Cricetulus griseus: one gene and its partner. Each later gene encodes a partner of the first gene's protein in a complex. Links are inferred from orthologs where the notes say so. Each region holds a gene or a part of one and is shown on either strand. Other genes may lie near its edges.

What was found. The genes of interacting proteins can lie anywhere in the genome.
Region 2: Taf1a (region 1) and Taf1d share a complex: the UniProt entries of both Homo sapiens proteins name them as parts of the transcription factor SL1/TIF-IB complex. The link is inferred for Cricetulus griseus from reciprocal best matches to the Homo sapiens genes TAF1A and TAF1D.

The regions. Positions count from the first base shown.
Region 1 is NC_048598.1:11,100,722-11,106,024, reverse strand, and holds the start of Taf1a (TATA box-binding protein-associated factor RNA polymerase I subunit A), read left to right. Parts: upstream 1-2,183; 5' UTR 2,184-2,488; exon of another isoform or gene 2,489-2,842; intron 2,843-3,716; exon of another isoform or gene 3,717-3,726; 5' UTR 3,727-3,728; coding exon 3,729-3,852; intron 3,853-5,303. UniProt on the Homo sapiens protein: Component of the transcription factor SL1/TIF-IB complex, which is involved in the assembly of the PIC (pre-initiation complex) during RNA polymerase I-dependent transcription.
Region 2 is NC_048597.1:128,814,189-128,819,362, reverse strand, and holds the start of Taf1d (TATA box-binding protein-associated factor RNA polymerase I subunit D), read right to left. Parts: upstream 3,333-5,174; 5' UTR 3,043-3,332; intron 1,879-3,042; 5' UTR 1,869-1,878; coding exon 1,798-1,868; intron 1,397-1,797; coding exon 1,021-1,396; intron 1-1,020. UniProt on the Homo sapiens protein: Component of the transcription factor SL1/TIF-IB complex, which is involved in the assembly of the PIC (preinitiation complex) during RNA polymerase I-dependent transcription.

The DNA.
Region 1 (5,303 bases):
CTAGTTCCAGGACAGTCTCCAAAGCCACAGAGAAACCCTGCCTCAAAAAACCAAAAAAAAAAAAAAAAAAATTTACTGTGGGTAAGAGAAGTAGTGTGTAAACAATATGAAGACAATGGATTTCCTCACTTTTATCTCCTAATGTCAAACTTTGACATCAGAACAACACCCCCCCCCCTTTTTGAGACAGGGTGTAGGGATGCTGTAGCAAAAGGGGAATTGTAGGTGATGCTGTAGCCAGCCCCTAAGTAGGCATGGCTACAGCATCCCCTACAATAGGGTTTTTTTGTAGTTCTGGATGTGTCCTGGAACTCACTCTGTAGACCAGGCTTGCTTCAAACTAAGAGATCCACCTGTCCCTGCTTCCTAAGTGCTAGGATTAAAGGTGTGTTCGACCATGGATGACTTTTTTGCCTATTTTTATGAGCATGAACAAACAAAATCAGTTGATTCATTTTGATGAACAAGCTTCCCGATGGCAAACTAATCACTTAGTGTGTGACATCATTATTTAATTTAGCTTTGCCTGTAGTTAAAGTACAGGTTTAAAGGCAAGGCATGGGTGGCATATACCCTTAACCCCAGCACTTGGGAGACAAAGGCAGAACTCTATGAGATCTATTGATCATTGAGTTCTAGGTCAGCCTTAACTACATAGTGTGTTCCAGAATAGCTCGGGCTATATAGAGACTTCGTCTCAGAAAATCCAAAATAAAGCAAAACAAAAACAGCAACAACAAAAATAGCAGGGTTAAGGCAGGCGGTGGTGGAGCACATCTTTAGTCCCAGGATTCTGGAGGCAGAGGAAGGTGGGTCTCTGTGAATCCAAGACTAGCCTGGTCTACAAGATCTAGTTCCAGGACAGGCTCCAAAGCTACACAGAGAAACCCTGTCTTGACCTCCCCCCCACCAAAAAAATACCCAAACAAACTGAAGGGACCAGCTCCCCATTTCGGCAGACATGACAGTAACACGTGCTTGCCATGACCTTGTCCTAGTCACTAGAAAGTCAGATGCCTGCCTGTGGCAAGGAACCAATCAGAAGTTAGCTGGTGGCGCTATGCTTTACGGCTCTGGGTGTGCTTTATGGACAAGTGCACAGCAATGGCTTGAAGAGCATGGCAACCACCCTGGGAGGGCCTATGGGCCATAACAACCAGTTGGCCAATCAACACAGGGCAAGCCCTCCAAGCCTGGAGGCACACCAATCCTGAGCCTGTGTGTACCCCTAGACACTCCCCTTATTGCTGCCCTATAAGATCTCTATGCAGACTCTTCGAGCTGTCTTTGCTATCCGAGCTCGTTAAACAATAAAGCCTTGTGCAGTTTGCAGCAAGCTTTCGAATCTGCCTGGTGATTAGGGTGACCACAGTCCTGGGCTGAGACCCTGGAGGCCTGAGGTTTTCCGGGGTTCTAACAAAACCAAACCAAAACAGGCTTAAGGGCAAGGAGTAATGATAGACCGGCTAATTTCCATGGAACTCAGACTCTTATTTTCAAGCAGTAAATTCGGAGTTTAGGAGGAATCCATTGCATCATTTATGCAGCCTTAACTATGAACTATTGTTTTTTTCCCAATGACTTTAAGGTTGCCTCCCTTTAGCTTTTACTCATTAATGCTTGTTCACATCTGTGTAATAATCTGCCCATTAACCGATCAGTCCTTCACAGAGTATTTTTCCAAACATCTCAGGCCAGTCTTCAGGGTCATCTTCCCTCGCAGCGTCCCCCTTCTCATACGACACTGCAATTCCACTATCCACCTCCATAATCAATACACGGCTGCCAATGTCCCTCTTGAGAGCGGACTCCAGGCCGATCGCCAGAACACTCCACGTTGATAAGCGAAACACGGACTCTTGCTCCAACTGTGAAGGCAGCAAGATGCTAAAAACTGTAATGAAAATAACTTTCAGAGCAGCAATCAGAATCGGCAATGCACCCCCTGGCCACACTCCGGTCTTGCGATGGGAACCTTCCAGTTTCTGGCTGGCACAGATCAAGGTGTAATCAGGGCCAAACCAAGGCGAAGGCGGAAGCTAACACCCACTTCCGGGTCAAGCCTCTTCTGGCGAGGCTCTTGGGCTCTCCCCCCAGGCCACGCCCGACGGAGGGCGGGGCTACGCAGCGCGCTACCCGAACGCCGGCCGGCTGGTTATGCGCAGGCTCACAGGAAGCGCTCGCTGAGGACTTCCGGAGAGGGTTTTCCCTGACAGCCCGCGGCGTGCGATCGGGCGAGCGTGGCGCCGGGGAGAGCTGTGTGAGCGCCCCGCGGTTCTGGGAGCGTCAGTTGCGGGCCGGGAGGTTTAGGTTACCGTGGCGGCGCCGCCGCCGCCAGTCTGAGGACTCGGGGCTCGCGTCAGGCGTCCGCAGCGTCCGTGGGGCCGACCTCACTGAATTGAGGCGTCGCTTCAGGCTTTGGCGCCCCACGGTGGAGTCGGCTTTCCTACAAGGCTTAGTGCGCGCTCGCGGGGCCGGCCGCCCCCAGGTGAGGTGGAGCAGCACCCCGGGGCTGGCCCTGCGCCCTCCCCGCGGCGCGGTGACTAACCACGCACCCTCAGCCTCCCGCGCCGCAGGGAGACGCTGCTGCCAGTCAGCAGGCTCGAGACCCGGGCCCGTCTCCAGCGTCGCGGAAAACACACACACACACACACACACACACACCAGCAGCGCCAGAGCACTCACCCTGGACCAGTCTGAAGGTGTCCGGAGCCAGGGTGGCGCCGTAGGATTGCAGAAAGGAGGGGCGTTTGGTGGAATTCTAAATCGCAGTACCCGAAGCTTCAATACCGGATAGGTACTCAGAACTGGGGTCTGCACCCTTTCGACAGTTCAATCCAAGGTCAGTGGCATATGGCTGCTTTTGTAGAGTCATTTATTTGCCATGGCCCCCTGCCCACCTCCTAGCCATTTTTTTGGTCACACCAGCTAGTCTGTGTGCTCTGCATTTGCTAGACTCCTGTCTTCACTCCTTTTGGTCATGTTACGTATTTTGTATAAGTCCTTCAGCCTTCCTTCCTTCCTTCCTTCCTTCCTTCCTTCCTTCCTTCCTTCCTTCCTTCCTCTGCCACCACCACCCAGCAAGTCCTACAGTTTTCATTACTAAGTGGGAGAGAATAGGGTTGCTGCTGCGATTAAATTAGATATTTTATAGTCTAAGTATGTAGTTAAGTCCCAGTAAATACTAGCTCCTGCTGTTACTGTACTTGCTATATTGTGTTATGTATTCTTCAGTTTCTTTATGTAGCTTTAGCTTTTTTACTTTGTAATTAAGGATGTCTCATTTTTGTATGTTCTTGGTTCAGAGCTTTGCAGTATTATGTTTTATGGATTTTAGAAACTTTTTATTTTACATGTGTGGGTGTGTGCCTGCATGTGTGTGCCTATGTTCTGTTGTGAAGGTGGTTGTATGCCCTGGGACTAGGGTTCCAGAAGATCATGAACATGGGTGCTGGGAACCAGCACAGGTCCTCTAGAAAAGCAGCAAGTGCTCTTCACTGCTGAGCCGTCTCTAGTCCCCAGACTTCTATTTTTAAAAAATGTGACTTGAGTTTAGGCTGTTGTTGACTTAAACAGATTCAGTGTTTCCTTGAAAAGAACTGTCAGATACAATGGGCCCTGCTGCTCAGGTGACTTTGCTACAAGAAAAGATTGCTTTTCAGCTCAAGTCAGGTGCCTGTGGGTTAACGTGTACTGACGCTAACTGATACTCTCAGTTTGGAATAGATATGAGCGATTTCGATGAAGAATTGACAAAGCTTGCTTTGGCAGAGGATGGCAAGAGAGAAACCTCTGTGTTCTCTAATCCAGGAATGCATTTCCCGTGGCTTCAGGAGCGAATAGAGACTGTAGGTAAGTGGGACAGCACTTTCACTTTAATGCAACTAAGTGTCGAGACTGAACACAGCTACAAAGTGAATGACCAAGCCAGGTCATTTTTCCTCCCCCTTAATTTCTGTTGTTGTTATTGTTGTTAGACAGGGTCTTGCTGTTTATCCCTGGCTTGCCTGGAACTCACTTCATGTAGCTCAGGCTGGTTTAGAACTCCTGGTTGTTCTTGCCTTAGTCTCCAGGTGCTAGGGTTACAGGTGTGAATCAGGGTGCCTAATATTGTAATAAGATTAGATGGGGGTTTCCCTTTTCTTTCTTACAGCTGGAGACAAAAAGGAAATTAGAAGAAGTAGCTTTTTTTTTTAAATTTTATTTTATTCTTTTGGTTTTTTAACACAGGGTTTCTCTGTGGCTTTGGAGGCTGTCCTGGAACTAGCTCTTGTAGACCAGGCTGGTCTCGAACTCACAGAGATCTGCCTGCCTCTGCCTCCTGAGTGCTGGGATTAAAGGCGTGCACCACCATGGCCTGGCCCTTTTTAAAAAATAATACACAGTCTATATTATGAACTACACATGTATAAATTTATATATATGAATATAGTTCTCTTTACTGAGCACTTGTATTTGGCATTGGCAGAATATTGGGGACGTACAGATGAAGAAAATGTGGTCTCATTGAGGAGCACATACATAGGAAATGTTAAGGAAATTTCTGTTGAGTTTAATGGAAATGGTTCCTTATAGCATTGATGTAATAGGTTTAAAAGGCATCTTTCTTCATTTTTAATCTAATGTAGATGCAGACAATGCTTTTAGTGGGTTAACGTCTATAGGACTATATGAAGAAGCCGTGGTGGAATGCTGCATGGGTCAGACCTTTAAATACACTTAAACCTGCACTTTTCTTATTACTCTCCATGCATTTCTTGGCTCCAAGAATTTAGCTCCCATTTAAAAAGAAAAATTCATTTAGTTTTATATTCCCAGTAATTTAGTCCTCAGTAAATGTGAGGACACTGAATTGCAAAGAAATTAAACTCGCCCCCCCTCCCCCAGGTTTCTCTGTGGCGAAATTAAACTCTTAAGTAATGATATAAGGAAGCAAATCAGGTCTGTCTGATCTCAAGTCCTGTACTTCTAAACATAAAGAGGTAGATGGAACTTGGCCTGAGAGCAGTCTTCTCTTAGGTGGATAAAGGCTATTTGAACAGATACTGTGCCAGTTTTGTGGGCTGGTTGCCTGGAATTGTGATCTAAGCAGCTTAGTAGCTCTTACTAAATGCAGTGATTGCTTCAGAGAGCCAGCTGAGGCATGAGAGGCTCCATCCCTTTCCTTCCCATCTTTCTCTCCTCTCCTTCTTTCTCTCTTTCTTTTCTCTGTTTCTAATTAGCTTTCAGATAATTCCAGTACTGCTGGTTTCACAACCTCTTTGAGTATTGAAGGCTGCAGATCCTGGTGTTTGTAGTGTGCA
Region 2 (5,174 bases), on another chromosome or scaffold:
CAAACAAGGACCACTTATATCCCTGCAATATTTAATGCCCAAATATTTGAAAAACCTGTGTCAGGGTACTTGGGTTTTCCCATGTATGGGTGTTTTGCATACCAATGCACTACTTCGTGCCAGGTTACCTCAGAGACCAGAAGAGACAGCAACATTGGGGTTACAGATGGCTTTGAGTGACCATGTAGGATGCTGGGCATTGAACCTGGGTACTCTGGAAGAACAGCTAAGTGTTGAGCTGTGTATCTATCGCTCCAGTCCTTGTCCTTAGTCAGGTTAAATTCATTTGGATTACCAGAAGGTATCAACTAACAGGACTGATAACTATTGTGTATCCTAGATTGTGGGTCAAGAGCAACTGGGTTAACAATGCACATGACCAGCTAACAAGCAGCACCCTTTATGTTGCTTTCTCCAGCCTGTTCTGGGTACTTCTAAAAATGGCCTTAGAAATATCTGCGGCAGGCGTTGGTGGAGCACGCCTTTAGTCCCAGCACTTGGGAGGCAGAGGCAGGCAGATTTCTGCGAGTTCGAGGCCACCCTGGTCTCCAAAGGAGTGCCAGGATAGGCTCCAAAGCTACACAGAAAACCCTGTATCGAAACACCCCCCCAAAAAAGTAAATGACATAAAAAATAAAAAGAACGAAATAACATCTGCTTACTTTGAAATGACTGGTTTGATGGGCTACTTAATTTAAAGTTGGGTAAGATATGCTTGAGAGTAGTTTAGAGACTAAGATGAGGGTATTTTGTACATTTACAGACTTGGACCATTATTCTCTAAGTTTGTATACACACTAAAAACAGTGCACTCAGAAACACTGGAACCTGAGCAGACTTTACACAGAACACATTGTTTATTGTCAAAGTAACAAAATGTGTCCCAGGTGGACCTCAAATTAAAAATGGCCAACAACACCCAAACCCAGAGAAACTATGTCTGGAAAAACCAGGAAGAAAAGATGGGGGCAACAATCATTCCAATTTCCTAGTGTATTCACTTACATGAGAATGACTCACCTCATATGTTAAAATTTTCTTCCAAGGTAAGGGTTTTCTTCCATTTTCAGATTCTAAGAATGGAAACACAGCTCCTTTGTTTTTAATTTGCTTCACACCTATCTGTGACCTTCTAGGGTTTCTAGCATTTTTTATTCCAGGTGGTCTTCCTCTTGGTCTTAATTTTGGCTTGTATTTCCTTTTTTTCCGTTTCTTTTTCTTAAATCTTTCAAAAATAGCCTTTAAAGTCAAAAGCCTTGGTTCTATAGAGGAGTCACTTGATGTGTCAGTGTCAACATTTGCAGGTAAAGTGACACGTTTTGTCGTAGGGTTTCTTTGCTTTCGTGTAGGTGAAAGAACGTACTGTGTTTTAAATAAGCTATCAGATGAGTCATCGCTAAAAAAATAAAATAAAATAAACTGCATCACTGAGTCGTTACTAGAAACAATCCAATTCACGAGTGGCAAGGCTGTACCCTCAGGCAGCATGGTCATTAGTAACTCAAGTTTCATGGAGTTCAACACCCTCTTCTGAACACATGATACTGACTGTAGGCAAAGCACTCACTCATAAGTCACATAAGAGAAGACATTAAAAATTTAAGTGTACATTTCTTCCAAAGCCAGCTCCCCCAAAATCATACCCAACATTTTCAAATGGGTGTGGTGATAAGCCTTTAATTCCAGCTCTTGGGAGAAATAGGCAGGATCATCTTTGAATGAGGCCACCTACTGAGACCTGTCAATCTGAACAGTTAGACTCAACTCTAGGGTGTTTAGTCACAAAAGCTGCCTTACCTTTGATGTCCAATGTCTGCAGCTCTATCAGGTGTCATGCAGTCAACAGAAGTCACTTCTGATTGAGCCATTACTCGATCTCTGCAATTACAATTTCAGTGTGATGCACCTAGCATTCTAATGAAAAGTTCAACATACACCATACCACCATGTGACTTTAGGTAAAATCGACCTAAGGATAGTCCACTTTAGATCTTTAAAAACATCCAAGTGAGCCAGCTGTTGGTGGTGCACGCCTTTAATCCCAGCCATTTGGGAGGCAGAGGCAGGCAGACCTGTGAGTTCCAGGTTAGTTTCAGGACAGGCTCTAATTCAATATAGAAAAACCTTGTCTTAAAAAAAAAAATATCCACGTGAGGAGCACAGCAGTTAAAGTGTAACCTTCCACAGTTCAGTTCCCAGCACTCACATTGGGTAGCTCACAACTTCAACATGGCATGTTTCTGGCTTCCTGGATACCCACACATTCAATTCTAATCTACAAGTGAAAGCAAAGGAGAGACCACTTTCCAAATCAGTGTTTTCTAATTCTACTTAACAAAAGTACCTGAGTGGCTTTACTACCAGCCAGCCACACAGTGAAACAGCATTAATTCGGATGTTTACCCTAGGAAGGCTGAATTTTTAGCCACTCAGTGTGTATGCCTCAATTTCCCGAATGGCCAATGGGCCTGTAATCCCAACAATAGAACCTCTAGGGTGAGTCAGCTGAAGAGATGGCTTAGCTTTAAGAATACTGACTGCTCTTGAGTGGACAGATTAAATTCCCAGCACCCACAAGGCAGCTTTAAAGGGGCCGCAACTGGCCAGGTGGTGGTGCGCGCCTTTAACCCCAGGAGGTAGAGGCAGGCGGGGCCTCGAACTCAAGATCCGCCTTCCTCCTGAGTGCTGTAATTAAAGAAATGCACCACCACCTCCCGGGTTATTAACTTTTTTCCTTTAAAAGGGGACTTATTTTACGGATAGTGCATTGGTTTCACCCATACCAGAAATAGGAACCAGAGCCCATTACAAATGGTTGTGAACTACCACGTGGCTGCTAGGAATTGAACCCACGTCCCCTGATAGAGCAGCTGGTGCTCTTAGCTGTAGAGCCATTTCTCCATTCCCCATTGTTTTTTAGTATTAGCCCATCAAAATTGCAACGTAACATACTTGGCCCGTTTGCACCAACGATAGAGCGGAGAAAATTCTAAGGGTAATGGCCAAGTACACACGAGGAACCTATCTAGAAATCAGTCCTACCTGTGCGGTCTTCTCGACCTAGGAAGGCAGCACCAGCACAATGCCCCGACGGGACACTCTAAAACCTTCCGGCAGCGACCGATAGCGACCGGGAGCCACGCGTGGCCCGCTGCGCCTCACCCGACAACAGCGCCGACTGCGCGCGGACAGCCGCCCAAAGAGCCCGGGCCCGCGCGCGGTCTCCGAGTCCCGCACCGACCGATCGCGCCAGACCCGAGCGCCCAACGCAAACACACCCGTCTCCCTCCTCCACCGCGACCAAAAGAACGTTCCAGCTCGCAGCAGCCGACTAGGGCAGGCCGAGATCTCGCGTGAGCTCTTAGCGGCGGGTGGGTACGAGAGCGCGGCTACGTGCTAGGCGTGGCTATGTGCGTGGACTGTGGAGTGGGCGGGGCCTCCGCGAGAGGCGGTACCGGGCTCGCCCCTAGGCTTTGAGCTGGCGGAAGGGAGCAGGACGTTGAACTTGGGTAGGTGAAGGGAAGAAGGCATTCCTGCAGGCGTGAAGACACTGCGGGTCAGGTGAGCGTCCGCATGTTGTGGGGCCGAGCCCACTGTGTGCGGAGTTCCCCCTCAGAGGAAGGGTGCCAGGTGCTTTGGGCACCCCACCCTTCAGGAGTTAGCTTCCAGCAGGCATGGGCTTCCTCCTTCAGATCCTGAGTTGACTCAACAGTGTAGGGCTAAACAGTTTTTAGCCCTACAGTACTTTCTTTTCAGTAGTGAGCTGCTTTGAGTTATTTTCCATGCTGCACCTTTGTATTGTATGACAAGCAAGCCAGCAGATCTGCTTGCCCTTAGTCAACAGTTGTTATCATTTATGATTGGACACGCCTTAAAAGTAAGGTCTTGCTGTACTTGCAAGCAGCCAGTGCATTCGCTGTAAGCTCTAAGACAGGCATCTCAGACTGTCACATTCAGGACCAGTGCAAACTTAAATTGCAGGGTCCTGTTCAAAACGAAAGTGACAAATAGCTGAGAACTGTGGCAAATCGCAGAACTGGAGAGTCTGAAGGAGGATTGCCAGGCCAGCCTAGACTATGTTTTCCCCATAAGTAAGGAAAATTTAGAATTATTAATACAAGTTTTACCATCTTTATGTTGTGTACTGCCAGGCGGTGGTGACTCATGCCCTTAATCCCAGCACTGGGTGTAAGGATCAGGCATTATGCTGGCCTGCCTCTTCCTAATAAAACTTCATTTAAGCTGTCTGCCTGGAATGTTTGTCCCTTGGCCTCGGTCAACCTCGCCCGCCATGAAACCTGCCAAGGTTCACCTCACTCTTTATCCTAACACTCTGGAGGCAGAGGCAGGCGAATCTCTGTGAGTTGGAGGCCAGCACAAGCTACACAGAGAAACCCTGTCTCAAAAAACCAAAAATAAAAAAATAAAAAAACCTTAATGAGCTTCTAGGCCTTTAATCCCAGCACTTGGGAGGCAGAGGCAGGCAGATATCAATGAGTCAAGGCCAATCTGGTCTACAGAGTGAGTTCCAGGAAACTGTCTTGAAAAAAGAAAAGAACTTAATGAGCAGAATTGTTGTGGGGCGTTCACCAGAGAAGAGTGTTCAGACATAGGTTAAAAGCCAATAGAAAAACTTTATTAGCCAGCCAGCAACCAACTGAGTGTTCGGGATCCCAGTGTAGCCCTAAGCCTTTCTCAGGGTGAGCTTATAAGCACAAAAATCCTGTCATGATTTGACCCACTCCAGTTAACATAACATCTAACCAAGCAGAACTATAAAAGCTAAAAAGCAAGGTTAGTACATTTAGAAACTGCCTCAGAGCTATGGATTTGGATTAGGCTTTTGTTTTAGTTTTGGCAGGTGGAGTTTTACAGCCTTAATGGCACTTCCATCGTGGAGTCAGTCAGTTGTACTAAGGTCTTAGGGCCTACTAAGATCATAAGGCCCAGTTGCAGAATCACTGCAGTTTGGATTTCTGCTTACTAACTTGTATAAGTTATGTATTTGTTACTGTATCTGAAACAATGTACCAAATTAACTTACTTGCTTTCCTTTTACTTCCTGATCTTTGCACATTTTGCCTGTAATCTGGAATTCTGCAGTACTGACTATCTGTGGACTCCCAAATATGGCAAGTCTACCAGGATTAAGTTCTAATGGGACATTAAAAACA